Oryzias latipes: one gene and its partner. The protein of the gene in region 1 interacts with the protein of each later gene in a pairwise test. Links are inferred from orthologs where the notes say so. Each region holds a gene or a part of one and is shown in the gene's direction. Other genes may lie near its edges.

Region 1 (3,822 bases):
TCCCAAATGTCAATAGAATGCACAGGTGTCAAGGGTGCAGCCCGAGCTAGAAAGAGACACATGTGTCATTCTGAAACGCAGATGAGAACATTCACCTTTAATGTGCTAAACACAAGTGCAATGATATTGATTTATTACTGGTTGCATTACAGGTTTACCTCATGATGAGCAGCAAGTGGAACATGAGATTATTCTTTCAATAACTGACTATTAGATGGAAGGTGTCTTTTATGTTTAACCTTTTTCCCAGAACGTCTGAATTCCTGCATGCTGCTAACAAATTTGGAAGTATTTGTTTTTCAAAATATGATTGGTGTTCTACCTTAACGCTGGCAGTACAAATAACTTCCCCAAATCCCTTTTATGTCATAGTTTAACTTTGTGGGGAAGCTGCTGGGACCACGGGGAAATTCTATGAAAAGATTACAAGAGGAGACGGGAGTGAAGATGTCCATCCTTGGCAAAGGGTCTATGAGGGATAAAGAAAAGGTGAGATATATTGATTTGTGTTGTAAAAATGTTTTTCTTCGCACTCTCATGTGTTCCTCCAAGAGAAGTCTTCATAGAAATAAAAGGATTCCGCCAAAGCACGGAGGAATATTTCCACGAAACCACTGAGGAGTGACTGAGATCAGCAATGTTCACAAGAATTAATAGCTTCCACTTGACAAATACATGTAGGCAAAACTGTAGTGTGTTTTTTTTTCGTCTTGTTTAATAGCATCTTCTGTAATAGTCAATTATGAATGCAAAGTAATTGATCTCTCTGCCTGAGTCATTTATCTCTCTGACTTGGGATCCCCTGAAGCTAAAAAGTGAGCACAGACAGCTTTTCTGAGTCAAAGACTATAACAGTTGTTGGAGAAGCGATATTGATTTGCGTTGCTATTATTACTGTAATCTCTGATTTGGACATCTTGACATGAAAAAGAAGTGCAGAGTTACCAGCTCTTCAGTGAAACTTTAGCTATGTTTCAATATGTCAAGCAGAGGCAGATGATAACATAATAGAGGGAATTTATTGCAGCTTTAAAAATGATGTAATTGATTATTTTAGAGAAAAAAATCAACAATGAAATGAGGGGTTAAAGTGAGTGTTGACTAAGGAAGTATGGTTATCAGATACATTTGAAGTTATCTTTTTCATGTATTTTCTGTCATTTAAACTGCAAAGCAAAAATTGTGGCGTTTTTCTTGTCTTACTGCTTATCATTTTTGTCCAACTTTGCCATCCTTCATAACTGTGGTTGGCAAAATAAAACAAAAGAGGACAATGTTAAATCACTAAATAACTAAAATATCATTTAAAACACCAAACTGGATTGGAACTTGACTAAATCAAAAATAATGGCAGGTTTAAAAAAGAGGATCCCTAATTAAATCCCAAATCCTAAGAGCTTTTTAAAAACACTGACAGTAATTAGCAAGCTAAAACTAGATGTGATGAATGAAAACTCGTGGTGTGAATGTGATATGAGGGAGGAGCAAAACCCAAAACACAATTTTTCACAACCAAAATAAAACAAAAAATAAACAAGAAACCTCAACTAAAGTCAATGATCCTTAAAAATGTTCCCCTTTGATTTGTATGCAGGAAAACCTCATTCATTGTGGATTAGCACTGTATGCTTCTGCCTGTTTTCTTTACACTGCCATTGATATTCCAGTTGTTCGGCTTCCAAACAATTCAAACATAATTTTAAGGAAGATACTTTCTGACCCTGACCACAAGCAATGCAGAGTAAGCGTTGTATAAGGCAAGTGTATAAGATGGAAGTTAACACTGTTCATGCAGCTGTGCTATGTAGAAAAAATAGTCTCACTAGATTTGTGTGTGCATAATACTTGTTTTTCAATTCATACAAAACATTTTGTGTGTAACTGTGTATTCACATACAAACAAATATCAAAAGCACACAAATAGAAAACAACTTGAAATTTCCGCTTAAAACTAACCACAGCTCCTATGCATAGAAATCTTTAAATAGTAAGCACTGAATGCCTGATACACGCACACAAAACCATATTTACACACCAATTGGAGTTACAGGTGCAGGACAGGCTGTGAGACTCTTTTCACACCTCCGGATTTGTCCATAGATGATGCATTTAAATGCTGCTAAAATGCTAGGTCATCAGAGTTTTCCTAATTAGCCACTTTGAACTCAGATTGTGAATAATATCTAGTAGAAACTTGACATTTTTCCCACTTTTTCAAGTATACCGTGATGTACAAGATGTATTGTAGGAGTTACAAATCGAGGATCAGACAATCACAAATCTGACTATTTTCTATCCATACAGCACCTTCAGAAATGGGTCATCAATTTTACTGGAAAGCATTTAGGACAAAACCTGCAACTTGTGAACATAAAAGAGTGTTAATTTTTAAAATAACTTTTTTTGTGATTTTAAAATATGTCTTTAATTGGTGTATTTTAGCTTTTTAGGTAGACAATTTTTAAATCTGTCCGGAGATGAAAAACAACCACTTAGCTAATTCAGGCTCATTGCATGGAAAGCTTTTAATCTGCTGTGTCCCTGAGAAATAAAAAAAGTTTAAATTGAAATAATGAAAATAAAAAAAAGCTCAAGAAATTTCAAAGTTTTTTTTAAAGTTGAATTACTTTAAGGCCAAAATCACACGCTTACATTTGTACATTTAACATATCATATTTCAACCTAATCACAAATACTTAGATTATTTATTTATGTATATATCATTTGTGCTTTTCCTCAAGTCAGCAAAAGTCAACAGAAACATGGAATCGTAGGGTTAAGTATCATCAGTACTTAAAGTTTGGCTACTTTTTTCCCCTATACAAATCAGTTATTCTCTACTCATAATTGCTTGATAAATTTCATACAAGAAATTGAATTAATTTATAAAAAAAATTCATTAACTGCCAAATATTATTTTAGCAACAAAACAACAGGATGACACTGACACTGACTTCACTTTGACTTAATGATGCAAACTTTACTGCTGCAGTTTCAGAGTGCTGTAGAAATGCGTGCAGCTTAGTTTAACTAAAATACAAGAGGATGTATTACCTTTTCTAGCTGTAAAGCAAACCATTCTCTTCTAATAAAACAACATATGAAATTTTCTAGTATAATTTAAGTATTTTTATTTAAGCAAAACCCAAAACACAATTTTTCACAACCAAAATAAAACAAAAAATAAACAAGAAACCTCAACTAAAGTCAATGATCCTTAAAAATGTTCCCCTTTGATTTATTACTTTTTATTGAAAGTAATACAATTGCAAACCAAGTATTAAATTAGTACTGAAATCAAGTTTACAAAAATTTCAAAGGGCAAAAAAATGTAATGTGACCAATATATTTACTTTTGTTTGTGGTCAGGAGTGAACCTGTCAGTGTATCACTGCATTTATACTTCATAATTTTCTTACCACAAAAAACAATTTATGCAAAAAGACAATATCATGCAGTTTAATATTATTATATATATTGTATATTTCTTGACAACTCAAAGTAAAAAGCCTATTGTTTTTTTTTCTGCACTTAAACATAACTCAATTCTGTTCAACAGATCATTTTAAAATAAGAGCACAGTTTTTATGACTTTATTCATCTCCTGCATATCAATTTGTGTTCAGGCTAACACATTGACACTCAGTTTTTATCAGCAGTAGCAACATACTGTTTTGGCTTAGAGTTTTCAGTTTGTTTTATTGATCTGGAGCAGCATCCGAACTAGCCTGAAGGTTTTGTGATGAGACTGACACCCAGAGGTCACGAGTGAGAGGTTTACTGCTGTTCGAGCCAGCTGGCAATGCAGCAGCACCGAAAAGA
Region 2 (4,556 bases), on another chromosome or scaffold:
ATCTACGACATGATCACTACTTTTCTATGGTTTTAGGATCTGCAATCATCATAACCTTCTCATCGTCCATTGGTTACCTTTAAGACTTTTTGGAATTTTCTTGGAAGATTTTCCAAACGTATTTCCAATTCTTGTTTTATATACTCAACTCAATGTATAATAATTTTGATTGGAAATAAATCTGGATCTGTTGATTTTTAATGCAGCTTCTTGGAATCAACAATCACCAAAAACACCTGCTGTTTTATTTGCATGAAGAATTGTCATGTTTGGGGAATGTAAATAAAGAAACAGAATTTTTTTTGTTATGCAACAGTTGCCTAATTGAAACCAAAAAAAGTCAAGTTTGCTCGTTTTTATGGAAAAGCCACTGCATGCTGGGATCCTATGATGTGCCCTTTGTTCCAGCTTGGTGAGTTGGGCGGAGGAGCAGGGAAAGGTGGAGGTGGAGGAGGCTCTGTGAGGCAGGCAGGAGGTGCTTTTGGAAAGCGAGCGGTGGTGGAGGAGGAGCGGTACTTCAGGTAAGAAATGAAACAGGTTTTCGAGGAAAACTTCATGCCAGCGTTTCCCTTTTTGACAAGTATGGTTTTTGTCTGCAGAAAGAAGGAGATGGAGCTGCTGGAGGTGCTGAGGAGGCATCATTCGGAAGAGATTGAGCACCATAAGAAGGAAATAGAGCGTCTGCAAAAGGAGATCGACCGCCACGTTGGCAAGATTAGAAAACTGAAACATGACGATTGAAGTTTGCGCTCACAACTCTGATAGAAAGGGTGGCAACGTTGAAAACAATGTAAAGATAATTGACTATCTGCTCATTTTGGCAGTTAATGAAGCAAACGATTATCTTTTATATACGTTCCAAAATAAAATGATTGATTTTCTGTTGGTTTATGTTGATTTTCATTTCCCCTGTTTATGCCATCTCAAAATTTAGGGTTCCCGGTTACACCTGGACTCATTTTTTGTTTTTATTTTAAGCCTGTTATGGTGATGATATGGAGAGGTTGTGAACACTTCTGATGGCACAGCTGGAGATACCTGGTCTTATGTGATCTCAGCTGCTAAGCAAAGTCAGATCTGGATAGTCTTTGGATTGTTCTGTAAAGGTACCACAAGCTTATGGGGATGGATACGCTCCATCAGACCAAGAAGGGCATTTGCTGCAAAACTGAAGCCAAAACTTTCACAAAGGTCTGTCATTTCAGGCCTTAGCTCTGTCTGAGGGATTTACCCATTTAAGAAATTCACTCAGACCTTGTAAATACTTTCCTACCTCACTAAACCAAACAGGACAAATGAATAAACCAAATGAAACGAGGAATAATTATTACATGGATTAAATCACATTTTTAAAAGGGCAATATTTCAACTTTAATCGAAATTTACAATCAAACACCCCATCATTTAATCATAAAATAAATTACTAGTACTGGAAAAAATGTAAATATGTTGGTTTCTAAGTTATGGTGAGGAGATTGATTACACTTGTAAAAACAGTTTGATTTCCTTGTAGCCTCTGGAAATTTACACAATTTTAAAGCGGATATTACAAAACATAAAATTGAGAAAAATAAAAAATATTACAGAAAGTCATGTTTCCATTTTGAAGACCCAATGACACGAGCTAGATTTGCAAACCAACGTTGTACCGCAGACTCTCACATCTCGCGATGTTTCCCTCAGTGGCGTTGTTCGGGCGAGCCGAGACGAGACCGCTGCCGTCTGGAAAAAATTTGTCGTGTGGTAGACCTGAACATTCTTGGCATTTAGCATTTTCCCAACGCCCGAAAAAACAAGTGTTTCATATTTTTTCAAACATTTTCCAGCTAGTTTTCTAAATCATCCTGGTAAGTCTTGCTAACTACCCGTTTGTGCCTTTTACGGCGCGCGCGTGTAAAGGTGTCTGGGCTGCACGGCGAGGCCTTCGTGTTAGCCCGTTAGCTAGCTAGGACGTATTCTTGTGTACTGCTAAAATCAACACACATGGACTTTAATACTTCATTTAAACGAGTGGAACTTTTTGGATCTCATTGATGACTGTTTTTTTCTTAAGCTTTTAGAACATTTTGGGCCACGTAGTATTATAAATGAAAGATGTTAGCTATCGATCAGGCGCCATGTGAAGGGGGCGGTACTGTGGAATAAGCCTTTTAAAATGTATGAGCGGGTCGTTTTATTTTGAAAATCAGTAATAAATAACATTGTTTTTTATAATAATACTGACATTTAACGTAACGTTTTCGTTTAAAAAATCTTTGAGTTAAAAGCCAGATATTCCGTAATTTGATAGCTTGTTTCTGGTATGTCAAGTTGACAGTAAATGAAGTAATAAACTAAAACTGTTTTTATTCATGTCTATCTAACAGGAGAATGGCTTCCGCTGAGGTGAATGGTAGTTCGGCCCCAGTAAAGGAAGAAGAGGAGCCTATGGATGTGACTACAACTACAACTCACACTGAAAACTACCAGACCCTCATTGATGCAGGGCTTCCCCAGAAAGTGGCTGAAAATCTAGACAACATTTTCCAAACAGGTGGCTGGTTGTTGTTACCTTCAAAGCTCCAATGTGTTTGTTGTTGATGTGTTCAGTTTAGCTCACTTTGTCATGATGTTTAGGCCTGGTAGCGTATGCAGATCTGGATGAAAGGGCCATTGATGCTCTACGGGAGTTCAATGAGGAGGGAGCTCTAACAGTCCTGCAGCAGTTTAAGGAGAGCGATCTGTCCCATGTGCAGGTATTACACTCAATTATGTGCTCATCAGTACTTTTTTAAACAGTTTTCTAAAGTATCATTTGGTCTGTTTAATTGCAGAATAAAAGTGCGTTTCTTTGTGGAGTTATGAAGACGTATAGGCAGAGAGAAAAACAAGGCAGTAAGGTACAAGAGTCCACTAAAGGCCCAGATGAGGCAAAAATAAAGGTAAACGCTCTTGATTTGCAGTTTTTTTGGGCTAAGTTGAAATGCCAAAATGTTCTCTCAGTTACAAAGCTTTTCCCATTTTTTGATTGTTTACTTTCCAAGGCTCTCTTGGAGCGAACAGGATACACCCTAGATGTCACCACGGGACAAAGAAAGTATGGAGGCCCCCCACCTGAGGAGATGTTCAAAGGCACACATCCAGGGATTGGAACAGAGGTGGGGATTATTTAAAGAAGCATGATTACACATCCTGTTCGTTAAAGATCCACTCCGACCATCTTTTGATCTATTTTCAAAGTGTTCTCACTGGTCTTTTCATATCATTTGAAAAACAATCAAAAACCTGTGCAGTTTTCTAGATTATAGTTTCCGCAGAGCGACAGGAGTTCAGTAGAAATTCACCTGAGTGGACCGTTGCCGTGAAGCGCCCCCGCCCCCCTTTTCCCTTTGCAGAGCAGAGATGACAAATACAATCTTTTTAAATTTGTCTGCTCCTGATTTACATAGATTTGAATAAAGAAATACCCAAAAAATACAAATTTGAGCTAAATTTTCTTCCTCTATTTCAACAGGAAAACGCCACAAGATCAGTTTAAAATCGTTCACATACGCATGCTAAAACGAAATATATATACACACACATATATATATATATATATATATATATATATATATATATATATATATATATATATATATATATATATATATATATATATATAAAGCAGGTAAATAAGAAAGTTGAAAATAAATATGGATAGTTGAATTAGAAGGGAAATTGTTTTAATTTTATATAGAATTGTCATTTTTTTCATGATTGATTTAGTTTTTGTGTTTTGTCTTTCTTTCAGGTGTTTGTAGGAAAAATCCCCAGAGATTTGTATGAAGACGAGCTTGTGCCCCTGTTTGAGTCTGCAGGTCCCATCTGGGACCTGAGGTTAATGATGGACCCCCTTTCTGGTCAAAACAGAGGATACGCTTTCATCACATACTGCAACAAGGACGATGCCCAAAAGGCCGTCAAGCTTGTAAGTCCATTTTAAAATCTCATGGATCCCGTTGGATATAAAAGAAAGTGATTTTGTGGAAGAATAGTTTGAGCAAATGTGTGTTTTCTTCTACTGTGTTTCATTACTTTTCAAGTATTTGCTGTTTTTTGTTTTTTTGTTTTTAGTGTGATAACCACGAAATCCGCCCTGGCAAGTATTTGGGAGTTTGTATATCTGTTGCAAACAACCGGCTGTTTGTTGGATCAATTCCCAAAAACAAGACGAGGGAAAGTATACTGGAAGACTTCGGCAAGGTTACAGGTCTGTTTCAAGTCAATGATTGTATTTGGAGAAACCCTTTCAGTCGGTTGTCTGTCGCTGACGAGTGATGCGGTTTTTCTTTGCAGAGGGTCTTCAGGATGTGATTTTGTACCACCAGCCAGACGATAAGAAGAAGAACCGTGGCTTCTGCTTTCTGGAGTACGAGGACCACAAGTCTGCAGCACAAGCTCGGCGGCGTCTAATGAGTGGGAAGGTGAAGGTTTGGGGCAACCCCGTCACCGTTGAGTGGGCTGACCCTGTAGCTGAACCCGACCCAGAGGTCATGGCAAAGGTGAGCTATTTTCCTGTTCAGAAATGGAAGTAC

The links.
Region 2: the proteins of khdrbs2 (region 1) and hnrnpr interact in binary tests that used the Homo sapiens proteins (3 or more experiments, as listed by UniProt). The link is inferred for Oryzias latipes from reciprocal best matches to the Homo sapiens genes KHDRBS2 and HNRNPR.

The regions. Positions count from the first base shown.
Region 1 is NC_019873.2:24,521,077-24,524,898, reverse strand, and holds part of khdrbs2 (KH domain-containing, RNA-binding, signal transduction-associated protein 2), read left to right. Parts: intron 1-372; coding exon 373-489; intron 490-3,822. UniProt on the Homo sapiens protein: RNA-binding protein that plays a role in the regulation of alternative splicing and influences mRNA splice site selection and exon inclusion. Binds both poly(A) and poly(U) homopolymers. Phosphorylation by PTK6 inhibits its RNA-binding ability.
Region 2 is NC_019869.2:6,651,758-6,656,313, forward strand, and holds the start of hnrnpr (heterogeneous nuclear ribonucleoprotein R), read left to right. Parts: upstream 1-1,677; 5' UTR 1,678-1,847; intron 1,848-2,366; 5' UTR 2,367-2,370; coding exon 2,371-2,533; intron 2,534-2,616; coding exon 2,617-2,735; intron 2,736-2,813; coding exon 2,814-2,921; intron 2,922-3,023; coding exon 3,024-3,137; intron 3,138-3,772; coding exon 3,773-3,949; intron 3,950-4,095; coding exon 4,096-4,231; intron 4,232-4,317; coding exon 4,318-4,523; intron 4,524-4,556. Other genes in the region: ATPase inhibitor A, mitochondrial, read left to right, coding at 409-521, 600-741. UniProt on the Homo sapiens protein: Component of ribonucleosomes, which are complexes of at least 20 other different heterogeneous nuclear ribonucleoproteins (hnRNP). hnRNP play an important role in processing of precursor mRNA in the nucleus.